Canis lupus familiaris: one gene and its partners. The protein of the gene in region 1 interacts with the protein of each later gene in a pairwise test. Links are inferred from orthologs where the notes say so. Each region holds a gene or a part of one and is shown on either strand. Other genes may lie near its edges. The genes, in order: TRIM69, FAM110A, IYD, ASNS, NEK8 and FKBP1B.

The links.
Region 2: the proteins of TRIM69 (region 1) and FAM110A interact in binary tests that used the Homo sapiens proteins (3 or more experiments, as listed by UniProt). The two-hybrid records come from large-scale screens. The link is inferred for Canis lupus familiaris from reciprocal best matches to the Homo sapiens genes TRIM69 and FAM110A.
Region 3: the proteins of TRIM69 (region 1) and IYD interact in binary tests that used the Homo sapiens proteins (3 or more experiments, as listed by UniProt). The two-hybrid records come from large-scale screens. The link is inferred for Canis lupus familiaris from reciprocal best matches to the Homo sapiens genes TRIM69 and IYD.
Region 4: the proteins of TRIM69 (region 1) and ASNS interact in binary tests that used the Homo sapiens proteins (3 or more experiments, as listed by UniProt). The two-hybrid records come from large-scale screens. The link is inferred for Canis lupus familiaris from reciprocal best matches to the Homo sapiens genes TRIM69 and ASNS.
Region 5: the proteins of TRIM69 (region 1) and NEK8 interact in binary tests that used the Homo sapiens proteins (3 or more experiments, as listed by UniProt). The two-hybrid records come from large-scale screens. The link is inferred for Canis lupus familiaris from reciprocal best matches to the Homo sapiens genes TRIM69 and NEK8.
Region 6: the proteins of TRIM69 (region 1) and FKBP1B interact in binary tests that used the Homo sapiens proteins (3 or more experiments, as listed by UniProt). The two-hybrid records come from large-scale screens. The link is inferred for Canis lupus familiaris from reciprocal best matches to the Homo sapiens genes TRIM69 and FKBP1B.

What each region holds. Positions count from the first base shown.
Region 1 is NC_049251.1:11,648,055-11,652,027, reverse strand, and holds the start of TRIM69 (E3 ubiquitin-protein ligase TRIM69), read right to left. Parts: upstream 2,801-3,973; 5' UTR 2,585-2,800; coding exon 2,579-2,584; intron 2,307-2,578; exon of another isoform or gene 2,191-2,306; intron 1-2,190.
Region 2 is NC_049245.1:20,607,904-20,612,002, forward strand, and holds the start of FAM110A (protein FAM110A), read right to left. Parts: upstream 2,801-4,099; 5' UTR 2,557-2,800; intron 1-2,556.
Region 3 is NC_049222.1:41,294,055-41,298,258, reverse strand, and holds the start of IYD (iodotyrosine deiodinase 1), read right to left. Parts: upstream 2,801-4,204; 5' UTR 2,679-2,800; coding exon 2,498-2,678; intron 1-2,497. UniProt on the Homo sapiens protein: Catalyzes the dehalogenation of halotyrosines such as 3-bromo-L-tyrosine, 3-chloro-L-tyrosine, 3-iodo-L-tyrosine and 3,5-diiodo-L-tyrosine.
Region 4 is NC_049235.1:22,693,092-22,697,069, forward strand, and holds the start of ASNS (asparagine synthetase [glutamine-hydrolyzing]), read right to left. Parts: upstream 2,801-3,978; 5' UTR 2,670-2,800; intron 2,425-2,669; exon of another isoform or gene 2,200-2,424; intron 1-2,199.
Region 5 is NC_049230.1:42,893,858-42,897,858, reverse strand, and holds the start of NEK8 (serine/threonine-protein kinase Nek8), read right to left. Parts: upstream 2,801-4,001; 5' UTR 2,721-2,800; coding exon 2,674-2,720; intron 535-2,673; exon of another isoform or gene 350-534; intron 1-349. UniProt on the Homo sapiens protein: Required for renal tubular integrity. May regulate local cytoskeletal structure in kidney tubule epithelial cells. May regulate ciliary biogenesis through targeting of proteins to the cilia.
Region 6 is NC_049238.1:18,594,660-18,598,754, reverse strand, and holds the start of FKBP1B (peptidyl-prolyl cis-trans isomerase FKBP1B), read right to left. Parts: upstream 2,801-4,095; 5' UTR 2,675-2,800; coding exon 2,638-2,674; intron 1-2,637. Other genes in the region: WDCP (WD repeat and coiled-coil-containing protein), read left to right, coding at 3,783-3,964. UniProt on the Homo sapiens protein: Has the potential to contribute to the immunosuppressive and toxic effects of FK506 and rapamycin. PPIases accelerate the folding of proteins. It catalyzes the cis-trans isomerization of proline imidic peptide bonds in oligopeptides.

The DNA of each region.
Region 1 (3,973 bases):
ACAGATGGCTGACAGATATAGGAAAAGATGCTGAACATCACTCATCATCAGGGAAATGTAAATTAAAGCCACAATGAGGTACCACCATACACCTGTCAAAATGACTAATACCAAAAATGCAAGAAACAACAAGTGTTATTGAGGATGTGGAGAAAAGGGAACCCTTGTGCACTATTGATAGGAATGCAAACTGGTGGAGCCACTGTGGAAAACTATGGAGGTTCCTCAAAAAATTAAACATAGAACTACCATATGATCCAGTAATTTCATTACTGGGTATTTACCCAAAGAATACAAAAACACTAATTTGAAGGGATACATGCACCCCTGTGTTTTTTTTTTTTTAAGAATTTATTTATTTATTTATTTATTTATTTATTTATTTATTTATTTATTTATGAGAGACACAGAAAGAGAGAGAGGCAGACACAGGCAGAGGGAGAAGCAGGCTCCATGCAGGGAGCCTGACATGGGACTCAATCCCGGGTCTCCAGGATCACATCCTGGGCCAAAGGTGGCGCTAAACCGCTGAACCACCTGGGCTGCCCCACCCCTATGTTTTTTGCAGCATTATTTACAATAGCCAAATTATGGAAACAGCCCAAGTATCCATCGATAGATGAATGGATAAGGAAGAGGTGGTATATACACACAACAGAATATTACTCAGCCATAAAAAGGAATGAAATCAGGCAGCCCGAGGGTGTGGTCCTGGGGACCGGGGATCGAGTCCCATGTTGTGCTCCCCACATGGAGCCTGCTTCTCCCTCTGCCTGTGTCTCTGCCTCTCTCTCTCTCTCTCTGTGTGTCTCTCATGAATAAATAAATAAAATCTTAAAAAAAAAAAGAATGAAATCTTGCCATTTGCAACAACATGGATGGCTCTAGAGTATAATGCTAAGCAAAATAAGACAGAAAGAAAAATACCATATGATTTCACTCATATGTGGAATTTAAGAAACAAAACAAATGAAGAAAAAAAAGACAAAATAAACAACTATAGAGAATGAATTGGTGGTTACTGCAGGAGTGGTAGGTGGGTGGATGGGTGCAATAGGCAAAGAGGATTGATTGTACACTTACTATGGTGAGCACTAAATAATGTGTAGAATTATCATATCACTATATTGTGTACCTGAAACTAATATAATAACACTGTATGTTAACTATACTGGAATTAAAATTTTTTAAAAAGTATATCTTAGCGGGATCCCTGGGTGGCAGGTGGTTTAGCACCTGCCTTCTGCCCAGGGCGTGATCCTGGAGTCTCAGGATCTAGTCCCACATCGGGCTCCCTGCCTATGTTGCTGTCTCTCTCTGTGTGTCTCTCGCGAATAAATAAATAAAATCTTCAAAAAAAAAAAAAAAGTATATCTTAGCTAATGCCAGTTCTAACTTTTTAGAATTTATAACTTTAAAAAAAAAAGAATTTATAACTTTTTTAGAATTTATAACTTTGTATAACTTTTTAGAATTCTAACAGGTATAAATAACCCCAGACTTCACTGTAGTGAAAAAAAAATGATTAGTTCTTCAGTCAATTTTGAAAGATGCAACTAAAGATAAAAATAAGTAACTGGAAGACCAAAAAATGTTTAATTCCTGTGAGTATGAGCTCTACTATAAATATAAAATATCAAATGTTATGGTATAACTGGCAAACAGTTATACATAATAAATTTTTTCAACCTAAAATAAAGTGATTAAGATGGGTGAAATATGTGAAGAGGGGGCAGCTGGGTGGCTCAATGGTTGAGCATCTGCCTTTGGCTCAGGTCATGATCCTGGGGTCCTGGGATTGAGTCCCACATCCAGCTCCCTGCAGGGAGCCTGCTTCTCCTGCTGCTGTGTCTCTGCCTCTCTCTGTGTGTCCCTCATAAATAAATAAATAAAATCTTTAAAAAAATAGGTGAAGGTAGATTAAGAGTTCACTTATCTTGATGAGCACTGAGTAACATATAGGATTGTTGAATCACCATATTATACGCTTAAACTAATATAACACTGTATGTTAACTATACTAGAATTAAAATGTGAAAAGGATGAAACAGATCCATGCATACTGAAACAACAAAACAATCTTTAGAATATAAAAAATAATTAAAGTGATTAGTTAATAAAGAAAGTACATTTTTATATAGCATTTAGTTTGATTTTTCTCAAAAGTTTACGGTGGGCATCACTACTTACCTACCAAACTCTCTTATCTAAATTCTCAGTTATTCCAGGGACATCTAGGTGACTCAGTTAAGCAGCCAGCTCTTGATTTCCACTCAGGTCGTGATCTCAGCATTGTGGGATCTAGCCCCATGTCCAGCTCTGTGCCCAGCAGGGAGTCTGCTTGAAATTCTCACTCCCTCTGTCCCTCCTTGCCCCCCCCCACTAAAATAAATAAATCTTTAAAATAAATAAATAAATCCTTAGTTATTCCAATACCCTAAGAAAGTATAGCAGCTGTAAGCTGCCACAAATATTTCCCTAAATTTCCTTTCATGCTCTGAAATCCATATCCCCTTCTGCGACCCAGTTTCCCACACTATGCCTAGAAAATCAGGTGAGTTAGAGAAGGGTCGCTCACCTCCATTAAGCTCTGTCATCAGGCCACTAGGGAGCAGATGCAGGCACTTGAATCCTAGCACAACAGGCTCAGGATAGCTGCAGACCAGGAGTCCGGGACCTGGTAGTTTGCTAAGAATGGGCTAAGACCATGACGGAAGGAAGAAAAGTTCAGGAGCTGAGGAGATAGGGCAAGGCCAGAGAGAGGTCTGGAGGATTCCGTGGCAGTTTGTCAGTTTTGATCATCATTAGCTTAAGAGAAAGAGAAACCCTAATTGGAATGGCCTACCCACCCACCCTTTTTTGTGGGGGAGGGGAAAGGCAACTCATTTAGATTCAAGGTGGGTCTAATCCTGAGATTGATATATCCCCAATTCTGAACTGAGATTCTCTAGGAAAGAGCAAATAAGCATCTGCCTGTAAGCCTAATGCATGAGAAATAATCACTTATCTCTGCTTATGATCCCAGCATTGAGATGCCACCTCAATGGCTTTAATAGAGAGCTATTCCACCTCTCAGATCTCATGTTCCATTTGAATAGCCCTGACTCTATTTCTGAGAACGAAACAAATGCCTGGAAAACCCTAGGCCCTAAGGAAGCAAGATGAGGAAAGCTTCATTTCTTTTTTGAGCAGTTTTAGTTCACAGAGATCTGTCCTTAGACTGTGCTGAGTGACCCACATATAAACAGCCATCATGGAACCAGATTTTCTTACAGTAATTCCTCTAATGCAAAAGATTTTATAGAATATCTAGCTCCTACTAAATGCCTCACTGTCCAGTCTTAATGCCCACAACTATTCCTCTGGTGTTTAGGATTGCCCAAATATGTCAGGGTCTGTAGCTTTGCACATGTTGTCCCCCTCCCCCAATCATTATTTCTTTAGTAAACTCTTCCATAACCAGCCCCACCAAGCTTTACTCCCCTCCCCCATCCTTTGTAGAAAATATTTTGCTGGCTCTATATCAGAGTTTCTCAACTTCAGCCCTGTTGACATTTTGAGCTAGCTAGTTTTTGTTGTGGGGACTGTCCTGTGAATTTTAGGATGTTTAGCCATGTCTCTGGCTTCTGCTCACTAGATGCTAGTAGCACACCGCCCCCTCTTGTTATGATAGTCAAATGTCTCCAGACATTGCCAAATATCTGCTAGGTGTATGGGAGTAGGACTCATTCCCAGTTGAGAATCAGTGCTTTATACATTTCTGTAGCACCCTAGATTTTTCTGCATACCTGTACATAATTATTTTGTTAGATTTCATGTCTATCCCTTCACTAAATTGTGAACAGCTACTGAGTAGTGCTGTAACTTGCTCACCTTAACAGTACATGTCATTTGTTGGATAAAACTCCTTATCAAACAAATGGCTATGAAATTTTGATAATCAGCTAGGAACTATGTTCCTAAGTTTAAAAAA
Region 2 (4,099 bases), on another chromosome or scaffold:
GCTTCGACGTTTATAGTTTTCATGACATTCTGCACCCCCCACCCCACCCCTTCCTTCCACCTGCTTCGCTCTTTCCATTCGGCAGAAGCCAGGCCCTGACTTGGGTGGAGACAGGGAGGCCCTCACCTGCCCCAGAGGAGGATCAGGAAGGCTCCAGGCAGCAGGGAGGGGGCCAGCCAATAGGGCAGGCCAGCTCGATTTCAGCCCAGCTGTCCGGGTCAGAGACACCCAGCTGGGCATCCTCCAGGGCCACGCCAGGCTCCGTGCTATTTCTGGAGTCTCCCCAGACACTCATGCCCTGACCTGCTTGCAGTGGGCCTTGCCCAGGGCACACTTGCACACATCTCAGAAAGAGAGAGGTGAGCGGACTGAAGGAGGGCTGTGGGCACAGACGCCTGAAGCACTGATCTTCTATCGGCCAGCGGACAGCTCAGCTCCACCAGCTCAATTATCTGTGCCTCAGTGTGTACCTGAAGTTGCAAAATGAGGACAAACGGGCTTGCAGTGGAGACAGAGACTGCATGCAAAGCCTCAGGGAAGGTCCTGGCTCACAAGGATAGTGAAGGTGGAGGTTGGGGTAGACTCCGGGGCAAGCCCACTTCCTGTCCTGGACTGCCTTCTTCCCAGACCTGAGTTTGCCATCATGGCTTCTTATCTTGGCCCAGAGAGGTGAAGAAACTTTCCCAAAGTCACACAGCAAGTCAATGACAGATCACAGATGGGGCACTGGTCTTATGATCAAATATATCATCTATAATGATTCATATGTATATAATGCAACCAGATGATATATGCCCATGACTCAAAATTCAAAAACTATGAAGAGAATGAAGTAAAAAACAAACTCTTTCCCACCCCTGTCCCCAGCCACCCAGTTCCCCTCCCTGCAGGTGCCACTGTAACCAGACAACTGTGTGTCCTTCCAGGGAGATTTTAGGCAGATCAAGCAATAATGAGTATAAATTCTTTCTATTTTTGTACACATATGGCAACATGCTGTGTGTACTGTATTCACCTTGCTCTTTTTACTCAATAATACATGTTGTTTTAATAATGTTAATATAGTATTAATTCTAATATATGTATTAATATACTTAATAATATATGTTGTCCAAAAATATGTGTGGTGGCACATCAGTAACATAAAGAGCTCGTCAGCCCCTGCTGATGACCATTTAGTGTGTGTCCAGACCTGCCCTATTACAAACCAGCCTGCGGCGTCACTGCACCTACATTGCGTTGCCTAGAAGTGAGACAGCTGGGCTGAGGACGTGCTTGTAATCGTGACAGAGACGGTGTACTGTGTTCCATAGAGGCCATGTGAGTTGATCTCTACCAGCAGAACACGCAGCAAATAGTAACAGTTAGCTTTAGGGCACCTGGGTGGCTCAGTCGGTTGAGCTTCCAAGTCTTGGTTTCCATTCAGGTCATGATCTCAGGGTCCTAGGATCCAGCTTCCCCTCCTCCCCCCTTGAACTCCCCTGCAAAAGGAGGATCTGTTTCTCCTCCCCCTCTGCCTCTGCCCCCTCACCCTCAATCCCCCAACCCACTCCCACACTCCATCTCTCTCTCTCTAAAATAAATAAATCTTTAAGAAAATAATAACTGTTAGCTTTAGTTATCTTGATTAGAGGTTTTGGCACCCCTCAATTTTGCCCGGGAGGCCACCTTAGCCCCTCCTCCTATCACATTCCAGTGGAAGAAGATATCAACTCCCTAATAAGTGAAATACAGAGGACATTAGATGGGCAAATGCCACTGAGAGAAACAAAATAGACAAAGGGGAGGGCAGGGCATGGCATACAAAGTCAATAAATATTTGTTGAAAGAATAAATGAAAGACTTATTTTCTTTCTGAGTTCCCAGAGCATCCCCAGGAGTCAGGGCCTGGTCTACGTATGCTGCTCCAGCCAGAGGTGTCAGCAGCCCCATCCTGAACTCCAAAGTCTCTGCTGACTAGTGGCTTAACGTTCAGTGGCTGCCTTTACCCATTTCCCCCAGCCTGGAGCAGATTCTCAAGAATCTAACAGTGGTTCCAGGGCCAAAGCACCTGCTGCCCACCTAGCACCTAACCAAGACACGTCGGTCCAGTCGGATCCCCCAAAACAGCCCTTTGAGATGGCACTGCGATTCAGTACCCTGTGGGCAGAAGGACCCCAAACGAGCCCTGAATCCAACCTCTGGCGTCCTAGAGAAGGGAAGACAGATGCCCAGAGGGGGCACCCAGGGGGCAATGCAGGAGCGGCGCAGGAGGTAGGTGATCCAGCCTGGGCTCCAGGGCATAGCAGCCTTGCAGGCTGAGGAGCTGACCACCAGTTGAGCGTCTGGACCTCTCCAGGCAAATCTGGGTCTACCCAGACTGGAGATTTCGAGGTGGAGCTGAAAGATGTGAACTGGATTCTCAGCCAGGGATGGGACACTTGCCTCCGGGCGCCTCAGCGTTCTCCTCGGTGAAATGGGGTACCACCTCCTCCCGCACGTACGACGCCGGGAGGACGTATACAGCAGGCGCTCGGCGACCGGACCCCCTCCGACCCAGACCACCCGCCCCCTCACCTGAAGCCCGAGCTCGGCGAGTCCCGGCTCCGCCCGTGCGGGTCTTGGAAGAGGCTGACAGCTCGGACCCGGGCTGGGAATGGCCGCGTCCAAGGCGGCTCGGTGCGCCCCAACCCGGCGTGGGGGCCCGCAGGGGCCTCCTCCGAGCGGCTGCGCGTACCCGAGACGGACCGGGGCACCAGGCTGTCCCCAGGCCCCCGCCGGCCCGGAGGTCCCCGGGGCGCAGAGGAAAGGGAAGTGAGCTCGCCGCTCTCCCCCCGCCGCCCGAATGGTTTGCCCCGGACATCCTGATTGGCTCCTCGCTTCCGTTCGAACGCCGCGCCGCCTGGGTTGCCAGGCGACCGCTTAGCTTGGGCCCCGCGAGCGAGCGCCCAGCCTCGCCCCCCAGCCCAGCGCCGCTCTGCCCCGCCGGCCTGCTGCTCCCGCGGCCGCCGCCGCTCTGGAGCCTGGTTCTCTCCCTTGGCCAGGCCTTCCTCCCGGTCCCCAACACGATGAGGCGCCCTTTGGGCTCCCCAGCTAGTCTCCAGGTCCGCCTTTGCAGCTCGCTGTGTGAGCCCGGGCCAGCCCCTTTCTCTCTCTGTTCCCCTACGTGCTCAGTGGGAAATTGTGAAATGTGCAAACCCAGCAGTCCTGAACTTTACTAAGGAAATGACCAAAGATATGAGCAAAGATTAATATAGCCCAGCGTTATTTGCCATAGCAAAAGAATGGAAATAACTCCAATGCTCAGCAAAAAAAAAAAAAAAAAAAAAAAAGGATTGGTTATATAAAGCCATCCTGCGGAAGAGCTAAGTTTATCTAGCCTTTTACAAATGCTGGGTCTCTTCACATGACATAGCTCCGGTCAGTGCTCATGGCATAACCCTTTGAGATAGGTACCCTTAATTATCCCCACAGTCCCGATGACTGTAATGCAGTCATTAAAAATGATGTAGTTAAAGATATTTAAAGTATGAGGAAAATGCAAAGAAAGCTTTTTAAAAGTATGTTTCAGGGATCCCTGGGTGGCGCAGCGGTTTAGCGCCTGCGTTTGGCCCAGGGCGCGGTCCTGGAGACCCGGGATCGAATCCCACATCAGGCTCCCGGTGCATGGAGCCTGCTTCTCCCTCTGCCTGTGTCTCTGCCTCTCTCTCTGTGCAACTATAATATAAAAATAAAAGTATGTTTCAAAGCACTATGTACACATAACTACATATTAAGTACATAATTGCAATGTCACATGTATAATCATTTATAATAGCAGTTCATTTCTTTGTTGTGCTTTTGTGGATTTTCCACTTTCCAACACTTAAATATGTCAATGGAAAAAACCACAGGTTTTTAAAAAGGATTCGAATAAATGAACTCTAAGCACCCTTTGAGATGAGGAAATTTCACAGCTGTGAGTCACTGTTTGGGTCTAGGGCATTGTTGAATCTGAAGCCAACCTGTTTTCTAATCCAGATGGAGACTTTCATTCTTTGGATTGTCATTGACTGAGCACTTACTATATACATATTTTGGGCCAGTGGGGGAGGGGGACTAATCACCAGCTATCACTAGC
Region 3 (4,204 bases), on another chromosome or scaffold:
CTTAAAATTAATTTTCAGCATGGTTTGAATCTGGTATCCATTTGCTGTCATCAAAAGCAACTCCATGTTTCTTCAGTAATGGAATCATTTCTCTTATGTCCCACTCAGTCCTCTATAAGCCTGCAGTACCAGCAGTGAATCCTCTCTTAGACTGTGTCCACCCTTCCAGGGGTCAGGAGCAGGGAACTGGGTGGCAGAGAAGCCTGGGTTTAAATGTTGCTTCTCACCGATCACCTATGAGACCTCAGCAGGTACCACTTAAGCGAACAACAAAAATTCCAGCGAGAAACTGAACTCTACATTCAGAGCAGAGTTGCCCATGGGTGCTGAGGAGGCCACTAAATGTTCAAGTTATTCTTCTGTGTGAGGACTAGAGAATAAGAGGCAGAGGATTTTGCAAAAATGAATAAGTAGGCAGAGGACAGAACCAGATGGAGCCATATAGCTTTGTTATGTGTTCCCAACCTTTAGGCCCAGCCCCAGGTCCCTGGTTCCCCACCAACCTCACCAATCCCTCTTGTATCCCCCAAACTACCTCAGATCTCTCAGGAAATTTGAGAGCCTGCTGGTGGTCTCCTGCCCACTCTGTTCTAGCTTATTCTCCTATTAGAAAGGCAACCTAGCAACTGGCTGTGTGCCTGGACTACAGAGCAGACAGCCTGGGTCCTGGCTCTACCACTATCTGCTTGAGCAGGTAACTTAGCATAGTTTAGCCCCAATTTCCTTATCTGTAATATGGGGAAATAATAGTGGCTGCCTTGCTGTATTGACGTAAAGACTGAGTGGTTTACTATACATAACGTGTGATGCTGAGTAGACACAGCCAGTGTTCCATAGGAGCCTACTGTTGTCATTATCCTGGAGCTCCTTCCCCAGATGGTCTTCTCCGTGGTCCCTTTTTCACACCACAGGCCATCTTACCTGCAGGTGCCCCAGATTCCCCTCAGCAACATCCCCTTAGGGGATTCATCAGTTTTCCAAGTTTTAAGTATCACCCTGGGCTGATGACTGTCCAATCAGTATCTATGGATCTCTCACCTGGACCACCTTTCGCTCTCTGCTTAGATGTGTCATCTTCTCAAATCCAGCACGTCTTTGTGTATGTTCAACCTCTTTTCTATGAATCCTCTCCCCTCCCCCATTTATGATAGCGTTGTTGTGCCTCCTCCAGCCTCCAGCTCTCATCCTCTCCTCCTCCCTCTATCCAGTTTATTACCAAACCCTGTTGTTCTTCCTTTAACTTTGCCCTGACTCACTCCTTCCCCTGCATTTCCACTGCCACCATCGTCCGGGCCATCCTTACCAGGGCAGACCATCACAACTGCTTCATAATGGATGTCCCTTTGTTCAGGAAAAGTGCTTCTCAACTGGGCACTTTGCAGAACTGACATTTGGGTGGGATGTCCTTCAGTGAAAGAAGGAGAGGCAGGCCTGCTAAGAGCTGCCTTGCTTGAATCCTGTGCAGTACCTTCAGCATTGCTGGCTCCCAGCACGGAGTGCCAGGTGAACCCCCGCCCCATATCCTGAGATTAGGGCAACTCTGAACACACATACGTGCACACAGGCACATCAGCACACTTACATGCATGTCCAGGTGGTCTTTTCGGAGGGCAGGAGCATCACTAGTCCAGCTGAGAATCACTGAGCCTCTTCTAAAATTGAATCCATCCCACCAACCCACCTCAGATGAATCTCAAACACCGATCACTCAAGCCTCCTCCAGAACCTCTCCCTGCTTGCCTGCTCCTTACCACCTCTTCATCCTCGGGTCAGCCACGACCGGGCCCATGCTCACCATCCCATTTCACATCCACCCTTCCCCCACCAGTGAGATCCCATCTTCTCAGCAACTTTCCCAGGAGTTCTGTCCCTGCTTTTATGCTCTTTCTGCTCCTTTTAGCTGAGATGCATCCTAACCATGACCATTCCAGTCCTATTAACCGGCCAGGCCTGACTTGTCCTTTCTCTGCTGCCCCACCACACCCCTGTGCCTCCTGGAAGCCCCTGATGATCAGTTTGGCTCTTCATTATGTTGCTTGTTTATTGGCTTGTCCTCTAAGTTGGACACCCAGCTTTGAGGACACAGCTGACGGGCCTCTCACCCACAGGAAGGGTAGAGAGCCCCTAGACCAATGCCAACTTTTACATTTCTAAGTGCTTGATCCAACCTCACCACCTCCCCCGTGACCACCATGAGCCTGTGATGTGCCCCTTCGGAAAGATTTAACAGCCAGAACAGGGTCAAGGAGAATGGCAATCTCGCCACAGCTGTTTACTGACTCTTTATCCAGAAATCAATCGGAGTGGTGCCAGCAGGTGCCAAGCCGACCACCTGAGAGAAATGATCTGTCTCTGTCACATGCTAATCCGCACAGCAGAGGGGGCTGCTGAAACAGACCTGCACGTGTTTCCTGCCCTCCCTAAGCCCTGTCACCCCCTGGCACCCATCAAAACAATGCAGAAGGTGGCAGCTATGCAGCTTTGCCCGTGTCCTTACCTTCTTCTACTTGCTGGAGGTCAGTACTGTCCTTTAGGTCCTCATCCACCCAGGGACGGGTCTGGGCCCTGGCTCTGTTCTCCCCCTTCCTCCCCTCCATGCTTCTTCCATCAGCATTTTTAAAGATCCATGCAATCAAAATGCAGACGACTGCTACCAAGACTGGAGTCAGGAAAAACATGGTCTGAGACCGACTCTAAACGGTGCACACTCTTCCCACACGGAATTTAAACAAACAGAGCCAGGAACGAGGAACGGTGGGGGCTGGGGTGAAGGAAGAGAGAGGTGTGCTGCCGGGGGAGGTGAACTCTCTGACTCAGGACTTTGCAAAGGAGCAAAGATCATGGCATGTGCATTCAGGGTGTGTTGGGGGGTTGGTAATGCACAAGTACATTCATTTTTTAAAATTGCGCTCAATCAGTATATTCTTAGACAATAACTGCCAGGATCTGAGTAAACACTTTAAGGCACCAGACCTTACTAACAGTGGTTGAAGGGGTTTGATCTTCCCGTTTTTCTCCCAGAGCAAGGTGCCTTCAACTTGCCTGAAGCTAGGAATCACCTGGGGAACTTGTTTTTAAAAGAGATTTTTAGGCACCAACTCAGACCTAGTGAAAGAAAATGTCCAGGAAAAAGGACTGGTGATCTGCATTTTAAAAACAGCATATTTGTAAAACAAATTCAAAAGGTTTTGAATTTTTTTTTTTAAATGAAGCCTGAGACAACAGATAGAGCAAAGACATTTTTGTGTTTTGCCTTAGAGAAATGCTTTTTGATCCAGGAAAAGTGATCCACAATCATTAAAAATGATGGTTTGGTTCATTATATGACTTAGGTAGGGTTTGTTTGTTTGTTTTTGTTTTTAAGCAACTGTCAGCATTTGTTTAGCAAATGTTGATTTGGGTCTGTGTAACAAAAATACCATAGGCAAAGTGGCTTAAACAGAAAATTTTTTCTCACCATTTTTGAAGCTGGGAAGTCCAAGATCAAGTGGGACCCAATCTGGTTCCTGGTGAAGGTATTCTCCTGACTTGAAGGTGGATGCTTTCCTCCTGTGACCTTACATGAGGGAAAAGGTAGACCATCTCTCTCATGTCTTTTTTGCCACTGTTGCTAATGAGGGCTCCACCCTCATGACCCCACAGAAACCTAAGTCACTCCCAAAGACCCTGCCTCCCCGTACCATCACATGGGGTGGGGGAGTTAGAGTTTCAACATCTGATTTTGGGGACAGGGGGACAGAAGCATCCAGTCTATAGTAGCAAGATACCCTACTATGTATAATACGATACCACTGGAATGAAAACAGCAGAAAATACCACATATTTATATGTGCTTATATATTCATAACATTTCATGAAGGATTATTCCATAAATTTAAAACAGTGATTATATCGGGACTTCTCTGTACTAGTTTGGCAACTTCTTCTGAGTCTATATTTACTTTTAAAAAAAGTTTAGGAACAACAGTGGCTACTTCTTTTGGATGGACAGTGGTATTGGATAAAGTGGGGGACAAGGGTGGGAGAGAGAATTGTTACTGTATACTATTCTATAACGTTTAAATTTTTTAACTGTTATCATTATATTACCTATCCAAAAATTAAAATTATTTAAATAGTCCTTTTTTATTTTGTTTTATTTTATTATACATTTTAACTTTTTTTTTTTTTTTTGTAATAGACAACTATTCTTTTGATACATGTT
Region 4 (3,978 bases), on another chromosome or scaffold:
ATGTTATCTAGGATCAGATATCCTGGCTGTATAAGAAAAAAAAAAATTTAGGTTGATAGAGCTGCATAATGTTCATCATCAAAATGTTCCAAAAGACAAAAATATTGGAGAATATTTTTATCTCAAGGTTGCCTTGGTTCATAAGAAAGCAAAGTAAGTGGCACATAAACAGCAACATCATCTCTGAAAAACAACTTGGCCATCCCTATAGGCTAAAAAGCAAACAATTCCTACAAATGTTACCTTGCAATTTCATATTCTCAACTGTGAAATAAAGGGTTGTTTTATCTGGATGCTGTCAGCCAGGTATTTTACCAAAATATCTCGAACTTAGAAACTATTTGGGAATTTTTTTTTCTTTTTCTTTTCTTTTTTTTTATTTGGGAATTTTTAATTCAAAATTGCAGCCAATGCCTAATTTGAGACAAAATTATCAAGAAAATTTATACATTTAAGTTACACCAGTCAGTTTGGACAATCCTCTGAGGGTGTTTGTATCTAAGTGAACCAAAGCTTGTTTAGCCTTTTAACAAGACCATATCAAACTGATGAAAAGTAGGGACTCAAACAACATGAAGTGGCACGTGTCCTATGTAGTCCCTTCCATGCACTTGGCCAAATAGCTTCTTCTTTTTTTTTTTAAGATTTATTTATTTATTTATTCATGATAGACATAGAGAGAGAGAGAGGCAGAGACACAGGCAGAGGGAGAAGCAGGCTCCATGCCAGGAGCCTGACGTGGGACTCAGGATCACGCCCTGGGCCAAAGGCAGGCGCCAAACCGCTGAGCCACCCAGGGATCCCCTGGCCAAATAGCTTCTAATGGGATTTTTGAGATTAGGGGAAATTTACTTAGATTGAAATGATATGACTACTGATAAGCCAGGTTTCACTCTATACCAGTTAAAAATGGACTGAGACAGTGCTTTGAAAATCACAAGAGGGGGACGCCTGAGTGGCTCAGTGGTTGAGCGTCTGCCTTCAGCTCAGGGTGTGATCCTGGGATTAGGGATCAAGTCCCACATCAGGCTCCTTGTAGGGAGCTTGCTTCTTCCTCTGCCTGTGTCTCTGCCTCTGTGTCTCTCATGAATAAATAAAAAAAAATCTAAGAAAAAAAAAAAAAGAAAAGAAAATCACAAGAGGTCATTACTGAATCATTTACCCGTCTTCCTAATGCAGCTTAGTGAATCCCACTATTAAGTCTACTATAAGGAACACACATTAAGCACTAGAGGAGCAAGAAGGGGAACACACATTAATTAGGAAGCACACTTCCTTCTGCAGCAGGAAAAAGCACATTAAAACTATTACCTATTTTTATTGGACTCTTACTTGCAAAGGTCCTACTTGCGTGCTTTTTCCTTCTGCTATTACCTGTTCCCAGGAATTCTCTGTATTTCCTCATAAACTTCTAGAACAGTGCTGTCCAGTAGAAACGTGAGCTACATATGGTATTTTAAAAACACTAGTAGCCCCATTAAAAAAAGTAAATAGAAACAGGGACGATAACTTGAAATATGTTTTAACATAATATACCAAAAATAGTATTTCAGTAGGTAATCAGTATAAAAAATTATCAAGATACATTGCCTTTCTCTATTAAATCGTCAACATCTGGTGTGTCTTACACTTACACCACACCTCAATTTGAACGAGTCAGCATTTCAAGTTCTCAGTAGTTACATGTGGGCTGAATTGGACAGTGCTGCTTCGGTGCATTTGATTTCGAGGCTGCTTACCAACTACCTCACCATATTGTTTTATTTTTGCATTAAGATATCAGCAACCGACTCCTGGACAGGCTCAAGACTTAAGTTATTATTATTATTTTTTAATCTTACAGCAATTTGATCAATGAGAAAAGGGTCATGAGTGCTTTTAAATGGTTAGGCAAGGCACCCAGGGCAATGGCCTATGAAGAAATAATGTAGGCCAAGGGCCCAGAAGAAAACGGTCCTTTTATTCAAAAGAGTAACATTAATCTGAAACTAGCCCTACGGAATAGATATCCATGAGAAAGGCAAGTCAGTTCTTTTGCTTTGTTCCACGCCACTCCGCCTGTCGCCCTGACAGATCTCTTCTGGGTGAGGTTTGCTCAAGTCACTTGTGGAGTCCTGCAGTCTGGCGGGGAGGGTGGGGAGGGTGGGGAGAGGGAGGGGAGGAAACGGGTGGGGCGAGCCGGAGGTGAGGGGCACGTACAGACCCTTAGGCTTGGACAGACGGCCCGGGGATCCGACCAGCTGCTGCGCCGCCCGAAACTCCGACTGCCCCGCAGCCACGTGCAGCCGCCGGCCGCTTCCCCGGACTGCGAACATCTCCACAGGCTTCGGTGCAATAGGATTACAAGCTGTGAGATGTACCGGGGCCCGGGTGGGCCGCAGCCCGGCCTCCCCTCTGCCTTTCCCCGGGCCCCCTCCTCGCGGGGCCGGGAGCGAGGTGTTCGCTCCCCCGCGGGCTCCCAGGTGCGCCACAATCGGCCCCGCCCCTCGAGCCGCAGGAGCCGCAGGAGCCGCAGGAGCCGCAGCGCGGGCAGGCGGCGGCCGCCTGGGGCCCGGGGCGCGCAGGTCGGCAGCAGCGCCCCGGCCGCCTCCTCGGCCTCCCGCCCCCTCCCCGGGCCGGCCCGGGCCACGCCGGGAGGGCGCTGCGCTGGGCGGCCGGGCCTGGCTTACCTGGGCTCCGGCGGAGGCGTCGGCGGGAGGCGCCGGGTAGGGGCTGCAGGTTGCGGGCGGGGCGGCGGGCCTGCTCGGCTTTCTCCCGGCCTCGCTCCTGTAATGCTTGCGGGAAGTTTCATCATGTCTGTGGGCGCCAACCAGCGCGCAGGGGCGTGGCCCACGATGCGAGACCTTGGCGGGGCGGAGCAGGAGCGGGGAGCAAGGACCGACTGCTCCGTTCCAGCTCCTTAAAGTGTTAGCGCACCTGCTGGAGGGGAGAGCCTCAGAGGTCTAGCCGGGTGCCCCGCTGACACCTAGGGTGACCTCACCTGCTCTTCTGGCCATGAGGAGGTCTTCTGCCCTTGGCTTGTTCTTTGGGAAATCATCGCCAAATTGATCAGTGTCCCCTTCGCATCAGATCTCCCTCATGTCCTTAATTGCAAAGGTTTTAGGTGCACAGGTATCCACTGCGCTCTAACAAAAAGGCCCGCATGGGTACCTGTTTTTGCTACCTGAAAGAAATCAGAAGAGGATTTTTGCTTTTAGGGGGGAAAGGCGAAAAATGAAAATAGCGTTCAGTTTTTATTTGGCAGCCAGCATGGATGGAGCAGCAAGAATGGCACTGCCAAGTTCCCTCCCCAGATCTGCACTCAGCATCAAGGTGCCCTAGCTTTGAACAATGTCTTAGAGCATCTGTGCTTTATCTCCATTTATATCGTGCATTCGTTAGCAGGATGTGTCCTAAGGTGTCAGAAAGGCCTAAGAGAGGTTATTTTGAGGATCTAAGAAAACCCATTTTCCATGTAAAGTAATGAATGGTAACTGCTTCTTCATTTTATGTCATTTCGGCCTACAAAATGTTTCATAGGAACACTCTACTTTGAGATAGCAGGGAAACCTGTACTTCAGTTTCCCCTTGACTCCTAAGAGAGCATCCGATACATAGACGTGTATGTATACATACAGAAAGATCTGTCCTATTAATATATAATGGGGCAGATGGGAAGAGCTGGAAGGATATCATCTTTCTATTAACTATGAGGTAGATTTCACTATCTTCTATCTCAGACGTAATTAAATTTCTCCCCCTTCTGGATATCAGATCAGTGAATTTTTATTTTGTGTTGGATCATCATCAAACTTGTGATGCCGTTATATTCGCCTTCAATTAGATTGTCACTTTCCTGGTTGTGTTGACTTGACCTTTTGAGCCTCATTAGCAGCTCAGTGGATACCACTAGGTAGATTCTCAAACCTGTATTCAATTGGATTCAGTTCTTCATCGTATTTTGTCATTGACAAATGTCAGTTTCAGGAAAGGATGGAG
Region 5 (4,001 bases), on another chromosome or scaffold:
CTTCTCTCTCTCCCTCTTCCCCTCCCCTCCACTTGTGCTCCCTCAAATAAATAAAATATATTTTTTTTAAGATTTTATTTATTTATTCATGAGAGATACAGAGAGAGAGAGATAGGCAGAGACCTAGGCAGATGGAGAAGCAGGCTCCCCACAAGGAGCCCAATGTGGGACTCGATCCAGTATCCTGGGATCATGGCCTGCCCGGGCCAAAGGCAGATGCTCAACCGCTGAGCCACCCAGGTGTCCCAAATAAATAAAATCTTTAAAAAAGACTGAGAATGGACACCAAGATTAACAGGTCTATAACTAAATGCATAGAACACTGAGTTTAAGAACCGGGAGAACTGACCATAAACTCTGTGTGAGACCTTAGGCAAGTCATTTAACTTATCTGAGACTCAGTTTCATCACAGGCAGTGTGACATTAGTCTTGATCTTCATAAGTTCCCATAGACTTTGGAGTTAACTGCCAGGCTCAAATCCTGGCTCCTGCTCTTACTACTCACTTAGTTTTCGACTATATGACATTTACATCTGCAAGATAAAAACAATTTCCCTCGGTTGTTGAGAGGATCAAATGAGAAAATGCATGTAAGAACAAAAAAAGAAAAAGAAAATGCATGTAAGGCACTTAGCACAGTGCTTGGCACATCAGAAATGCTCAGTGAGTGGAAGCCGTTCATACAATTATTTTCTTTCAACTCTAGTCAGTGTCCATAAAAGCAGGGTTCTTGTTCTCCTTTTTAACTATATCCCCAGATCATAGCCCAGTGTTTAGCTCATAGTAAGAGCTCAATGAGTATCTGCTGAATGAATGGACTGTAAGAGGATCAACTAAGTATCAAATTTGTATTTCCAACTCAGACCTCTCCTCTGAGACCCAGACTCAGAAATCCAACTACTTGCTTTGCATTTCTACCTGAACTGCTTGCAAACATCCGAAATTTTAACAAATTCAAAATAAAACTTTTGATTTCTGCCCCAAGCCCTTTCTTTCTTTTTTTTTTTTTTTTTTTAAGATTTTATTTATTTTTTCATGAGAGACACAGAAAAAGAGGCAGAGACAGGGGCAGAGGGAGAAGCAAGCTCCCTGCGGGGACCACGATGCAAGACTCTATCCCAGGACCCCGGGATCACGACCTGAGCGAAAGGCAGATGCTCAACCACTGAGCACCAAGGTGCCCCCTCCCAAACTCTTTTCTTCCTTAGTCTCTTCCATCTTAGTAACTGACACCACCATTAAAGTCAGACACCAGAAAATCATCCCAAAATCTTTCCTCCATTTCACAGCAACGTATCAATAAATCCTGTTTCTATCTGCAAAATATTATGAACTCATCCATTTCTGACTTCTGCTATACCCTTGTCCAAATCATTATTTCTTGCCTAAAATACTGCACTAGCCTTTAAAATGATGCCTTTTACTTTCGGCATCCTCAACTCTAAGTTCCACACAGCAGCCAGGGTGACATTTAAAAAATGCAAATCGGGATCCCTGGGTGGCGCAGCGGTTTGGCGCCTGCCTTTGGCCCAGGGCGCGATCCTGGAGACCCGGGATCGAATCCCACGTCGGGCTCCCGGTGCATGGAGCCTGCTTCTCCCTCTGCCTGTGTCTCTGCCTCTCTCTCTCTCTCTGTGACTATAATAAATAAATAAAAATTAAAAAAAAAAAACAGTTTAAAAAAAAATAAAAATAAAAATAAAAAATGCAAATCATATGAAGACCATTCTGCTGAAACCTCTTCTCTTTACACTTCAAATAAATCCAATCTCTTTACCTCAGCCTATAATGCCATAATCTGTCCTCTGTGACAATCACATTTTATACCATTATTTTTTATACATACTATTCTTTTTTTCCCTCAAGGTTTTATTTATTTATTTGGCAGAGAGGGAGCGAGAGCGCACGCAGAGAAGTAGCAGAGGGAGAGACAGGCTCTTCACTGAGCAGGGAGCCCCGTGCGGGCTCCATCCCAGGACTCAGGGATCATGACCTGAGCCGAAGGCAGACGTTTAACCAGCTGAGCCACCCCGGCGCCCCTTTATATACCATTCTTGACCTTGCCCGCTACATTCCAACTTCACCAGTCTTTTTCTCAGTTCCTTGAATACTCTGAATTCCTTTCCACGTGAGGATATGCTGCTTCCTCTGCCTGAAAAGCTCTGCCTGCACCTGTGGATTGCTGGTTTGCATTCCTCAAGTCGTGGCTTTAAACTTCACTTCTCAGGGAAATTTTCCTTGACCACCCCAAATAAATACTCCCTGGCGTATTCCAGGCTCGCAGCTTGTTAATAACTTTTAATTACTTGTCTATTGTATCATTTTACTACAGTCTGTGAGCTCCGAGAGGGAAAAGACACTCTCATTTTGGTCTTTACTATATACGCGTCGCCGGGAGCGTCCGGAGCCCACAGCGCCGGGCTCACTATCTGTGGAACGAACTAGTCAGGAATCGAAGAACAGAACTCTGCGGGGGCGCCGAGGCTCGTCGGGGCGTGACCTCGCGAGAGGCGGAGCCTCCCAGCCCGGGCCGGGACCGGAAGCGAGGGCAGGGCTTTCCAAGGGGCGCTCACGCCTCGGGGCGGGGCTAACCGGGCAGCGAATTCGCGGTCAGAGCTGGGGCTTACTTTCCCTCTCCCCGACCATTTTCCTTCCCCAGATCCCTGGCTCACCCGAAGGCACCTCTCCCCACCACTCGGATCCGCTCGTACTTCTCCATCTTATTTCTCAGAGTCACATTTCCGGAACCCCCCCCGCCCCGATGCGGCGCGTGCGCGGACCCGCCCACTCAGGACCACGCCCCCTACGCTGCAAGATAATTGCGGGGCGGAGCAAGTGAGATTGATGTGGGTTCAGCTTTGCATCTGTCTTGTGCTGTTTACACAGTCCTTGCAGCCCCCGCCCACAGTTGCCTTTTCAGGGTCCCAGCAGTGGGGTGTTATGCCATTTTTGGCGCCTAGGACAGGACCAGCCACTGCCTAAAAACAGGTGTGCATCTGGCCCTCGCGAAGCATCCATTGAGCGGAGGGGTGCCCTGCACAACCAGCGAGGTTGGAAAGCGACGACTGACCTCTCTCAGCCCACCTCTTTGCCCACTAGTGATGCTATTTCGGAAGGAGAGCAGATTCTCACTGGCACTCAAATGATCAACTACCAAAACTGTACCAAGAGAGCATCAGCACTCTCGGTCTGTGGGGCAGGGTGCCGGGTTAGTTTCGTGTTTGCCTAGGTAGGGACCTGGGAAACCCCAAGCTGTGCAAATTGATTCACCTAGGGATGTGGAAACTCCAGGCTGTCCCAGCTAGTGAGCACCGCGCTCGCCAGCACTTTCATCACTCCTCCTGCCCCCACACACCAACACACAACTTGGCTGCAGGCCATCGCCTTCAAGGCTCAACTGTGGGGAGAATCTGCCAGGCGGAGAGAAGATGAGAGAAGTACACCACTATCGGAGAGCATCAGAGAGAGGAGGAAGGAGAGCTGTTTGACCCATGTGGGTTCAAGGCTCCTGCCTAAACTGTAGGGGGCTGGTTAGTATGATCATCTAGGGTCTTGACTGGAAGTGAGTTTAATTCCTGTTGTCTCCTTGGGCCTTCTGCTCTGCGAGCTCCATAAAAAGCTCGGTTAAGGAGTAAGAGGATGGTGATTAGCTAAGGGACAGCGTCCCTATTTCTGAGTGGGCGAGGAATGGGAGGAAAGCAGTGTTTACGTTCTGTCCCGCCCAACCCCTCAAAAGGGTACTCAAACCTGCCCACGTGGAAAGACCACTAGAGGGGCCCCACGAGGGGCCCTGGGTCGCTGGCTCAGGCTGCTATTGGCTGATGAACAAAGCTGCCCTGTGAGCAAAAGAGAGCTCAGAGGAGGAAAGCCGCTCAACCCGGGAAACTCGTGCTCTCACCTAGAAACCAGTAGAGCCGTGGTTGACCCAGGAGCCCCACAGGGGTTAGTTAATATGTAATCTTGGAGCCATCAAAGGAGGCAGAACAAACACCCAAACCTC
Region 6 (4,095 bases), on another chromosome or scaffold:
TCATGCAGATCATGCCAGACATTGGACATCGTGGAGCTAGATTTAACTCCAAGCGCAATAGGAAGGCACTGGAGAGTTTTAAGCAAAAGGATGACATAATCTGAATTAAGATTTTATAAGATCACTCTGGCTGCTGCCTGTAGGATGGACGATTAGGCGCCTGTTGCAATAATCCAGACAGGAAATCAATTATGGCTTGAATTAACGTGGTGGCAGCAGAGAAGAGAGCAAAATAGATACGTTTGGGAAACGGGGCTGACAGAGTACACTAATGGAACGGAGATGGGGTCCAGGAGGAGGGACAAGGAGAAATCAAGTACAATGCTTGGGTTTTCAGTTTGGGCAATTGGACGTATGGTGGAACGAACTAATTCCAGGTGGGGAAGACTGGGGAGGAGCAGATTTGAGCAGTTGGCAGTCTTGAAATGCCTATTAGACATCTGAGTTTATATTGCAAGTAGGCAGATGGAGGGTCTGCACTGGAGGTATAAATCTGGGTGGAATTTAAAGCCACAGGCCTGGATAACAAATCTTTGGGAGGCAAACAAGTGAGCCAACATGTAGAGGACTCTGTGGGAGTCCAGGAAAGCATCAGAGAGGAGATAAGGTTAAACCAGATCTTAAGAGATGACTAGTTTGCCAGAGGAAGTTAAAGGAGATAATCTGGGAAGAACTGATGACACATTCAAAGGCCTGGAGTCTAGCACTAGTGGGATCCCTGTCTGGCTCACTGCTGTTAACCCCAGGGCCTAGCACATAGTACATGTTCAATAAATATTTGCGGAATGATTGATGTGTTTTAACAACTTTGCAGGAAGCTTGCTGAAGCTACAGAAAAAGGTGGTAGTGGGGGTAGGGGCTGTAGTAAGAGACTGCCCTAGTGTGGAAGGTAAGACCAGGCTAGATTACTATCTGTCTGAGAAGAAAATGGAAGATTCATTAAAGCACAAGGCACGGGGATAAGGTAAGAGGGGAGCAGAAGGGAATGGGAACCTAAAATAGGCATTTTAAAGACTCCTCAGGCTATGGTGTGGAAAATAGGTAGTGAGTTAGGGAGGCCAGATGGAAGGCAGAGAGGTCAGACTGGATGTGTGGAGACCAATGTAGAGGATGTGCAGAAAGCCTGATGAGAGACCATCATCTGAACCAGGGCAGGGGCTAAACGGATGTAGCCTAGAGAATTTCAGCAGAAGGACCAAGTCCTACCAGACTTGCTGCGGGGCTTCACTTAGAATGGTGCCCCCAGCCTAACAATACAGTAGCTTGGCCCTTCTATGCCTTCTTGACTCAAGGGTTTAGACTGTTAAAGCAGAAGGCCAAAGTTTTTTCAGGCTTTCTCGAAAAATCTAATCTCCCTCAAAAGAAAATGGCCCTTGTCCTTGGCCAGAAAGGGAGGATAAGCAGAGAAAACTCTAAAGGCTACTTTGAGTCAGGGGAAAAGAGAAGAGGCCTCCAGCTCCCTGGGAGATCTCAATGGCAATTTCCCTGGGGTGTGACAAGGTCTCAGAGAGATGCTTCCTGGGACCCAGCACTATTGTTCTCAGTGGGGGCAAAGAAGCCTGTACCTGCAGGGTGACAGGGATCGGGACTGGGACCTCTAGGGACCACTGCCTTTTAACAAGGAGGGTGGCCTAGAACCAAGAGGTCTTCCAATTTCCTAGAGAGGGTGGGGGTTGTCAGACATGTCTCACATGAAGTTTGTCTGTCAAATTCTGCAGAAACGGGGGCTCTGGACTGGATTAAGTGTCATTTAAAATTTTTTAAAATAAGCTATTCCTTGCACATCCAGACCCAATTATACAAGAGATGTCTGGCTGGGGAAAGTGAGTGGTGCCGCTCCTGACGGGGGGGGGGGGGGGGGGGGGGGGGGGGCAGGGAAAAGGGAAATACAGAGGAGTGCTTGGGCGTGGGGAGGACAAGGAGCTCGAGTTGTTTTGGACTCGCTGAATTAGGTTTCCATGGGACATCCAGGTAGAGGTCGAGCAGCAGCTGGATAAATGGGTCGGAGATCTGGGCTGGAGGCTTAAGTTTGGAGGCCATCGGTTTGCAGACGGTAATGAAAGCCATGGGAGTGTACAGGATGGCTGGAGAGGCGGAGTGGGGCGGGGAGGATAAAGCAGGATGCAGAGGCGGCGGAGGGAGCGCTTCTTCCTCGCAGACGGGCTCGGTCCCCCCACAACGTCTCCCCGCCCAGCCCACGGGGGCCGCGGGAGCCGAGGCCCTCAGGGGGGCGCGTTGGAAACGGGTTGCCCCAAGAAGGGAACCCTTCCAGCGGTCCCCGGAGCTCACCTAGCAGGGCAGGGAGAGCAGAGCCAAACCCCTGCCCTGGGAAATTAGCAGCGGCAGACAACTGAGGGGCTCCCGCGGCGGCGGCGGCGCCCGAGGCCCCCGGGGCGGTGGCGGGCCCAGACCCCCGCCTGCGGCCGCCGCCTCCGACGCCCTAGGTGAGCCGGCGCGGGGAGGGGGGCGGAGGGTCGTCGGCCAGAGCTCCGACAGTGCAGTCTGGGGTCTCCCCCGCCGCCCCACCCTGCGCCCGCCCCCGCGTCCTCACCCTCCGCGCCACCTCCGACCCAGACCCCCGCCCGCCCGGCTCCGCCCCGGGACCCTTCCTCCTCCCCCGGCTCCGCCGCCCGGTACCGTCTCCCGGGGAGATGGTCTCGATCTCCACGCCCATCGCAGTCCCACTGGCCCCGCCTCTGAGGGTCCCGGCTGCTGCCCCGACCCCGGCTCGGCTGCGGCTCCGGCTCCGGCCCCGGCCCCGGCCCCGCTGGCGCTCCGGCTCGCCTCCCCGCCGCCACTGCAGAGCCGGAGGAGGTGCGGCGGGAGTCGGGACCTGCGCGGGGAGGGGCCACGGGGAAGGGGGCGGCGGGGCGGAGCGGGGCGGCGCGGAAAGGTGGGGTCGGCTGGGGCGGGGCCCGGGGAAGGGACCCCGGCGCCGCGGCTCCCGGGCCTGGCCGGGCCGACCGTCGTTCACGGGGGTGGGGGGGGACGGAGGGGGAGGCAGAGACCCCCGCGCATCTACGCACCCGCCGGTGCAGCCACCCCTCTATGCATCCGCTCATCACAGATTTATCTAGCATCTACTCTGTGCTAAGCTCTGGGGAGTCAACCCGGTCCCACCGACTAGGCGAAAGCCAGCAACTAAACCAACACTTTAAATAGATGCGCTCACTGCCCTGGAGTCCAGAACGTTAGGGCAGCACCCGTTAGGGTACTCGCCCTGGCTCGGCTGCCGGACTGTAGGAGCAGCCTGGGGGTGCGCGCGGGCGGGGGGAGGGGGCGGGGGGGAGGGCACCGGCCATTACCCCACTGCGATCTCCCTAAACCCCTGGTCGCCGTCCCGCGTAGTTCTCCAGCACTCACAGGTAGATGCCCACCTTCAAGGCAAAGAACAGAGCCCTGAGGATACCAATTTAATTAAAGCAGAATCGCTGTCGTCAAAGAATGAAATTTTGTGACGGGCGGGGACGGGGAGAGTTAGTTACAGCGTGGAGTGATTCGTGCTGTGGGATGAATGAATAAATTATACCTTGAGCTCCTCTTCCACGCTAGACCCTTCACCTCCACCCAAAAGAGTTCCAGGAATCTAGAAAAACATCTTTGGAGGAGATGACATTTGCTTGAAGAATGAATGGAACTTTATTTTTTCCCCTCTCTTTTTCTCTCATCTTTCCCTGCATTGTTCTAAAAATCGACGTGAAAGCATGGTTCTGACCAGTGGCACTGGAATATAGGCACGAGGAGAAAAGCCTGAGCAAAGGCACCCAGAGTGGACCCTAGAAATGTTCTTCTTCCACCCCCACCCCCAAGGCTCCCAGATGGTTAGGTCAGACTTGAGGATATCAGCATCACTGAAGGAGCACTGGCTGTTTTGTTCAAGAAAGATGATGGCCAACTGTACTATGAGGGTCAGCATCCGAAATTCCCCATGGACTGCTTCACGGCGTGGCCCAGAGTCTCCCAGGTATGCAGCTAGTCTAAAATCTAGTGATGCACCGGGTCCTTCCTTGGACTATGGTCCATGGGGAGGCACTCTTGGGGAAAGTGTAGGACAGGGGTTTGTAACTCGGATAGGTCCATGGAGCAGCTTCAGTT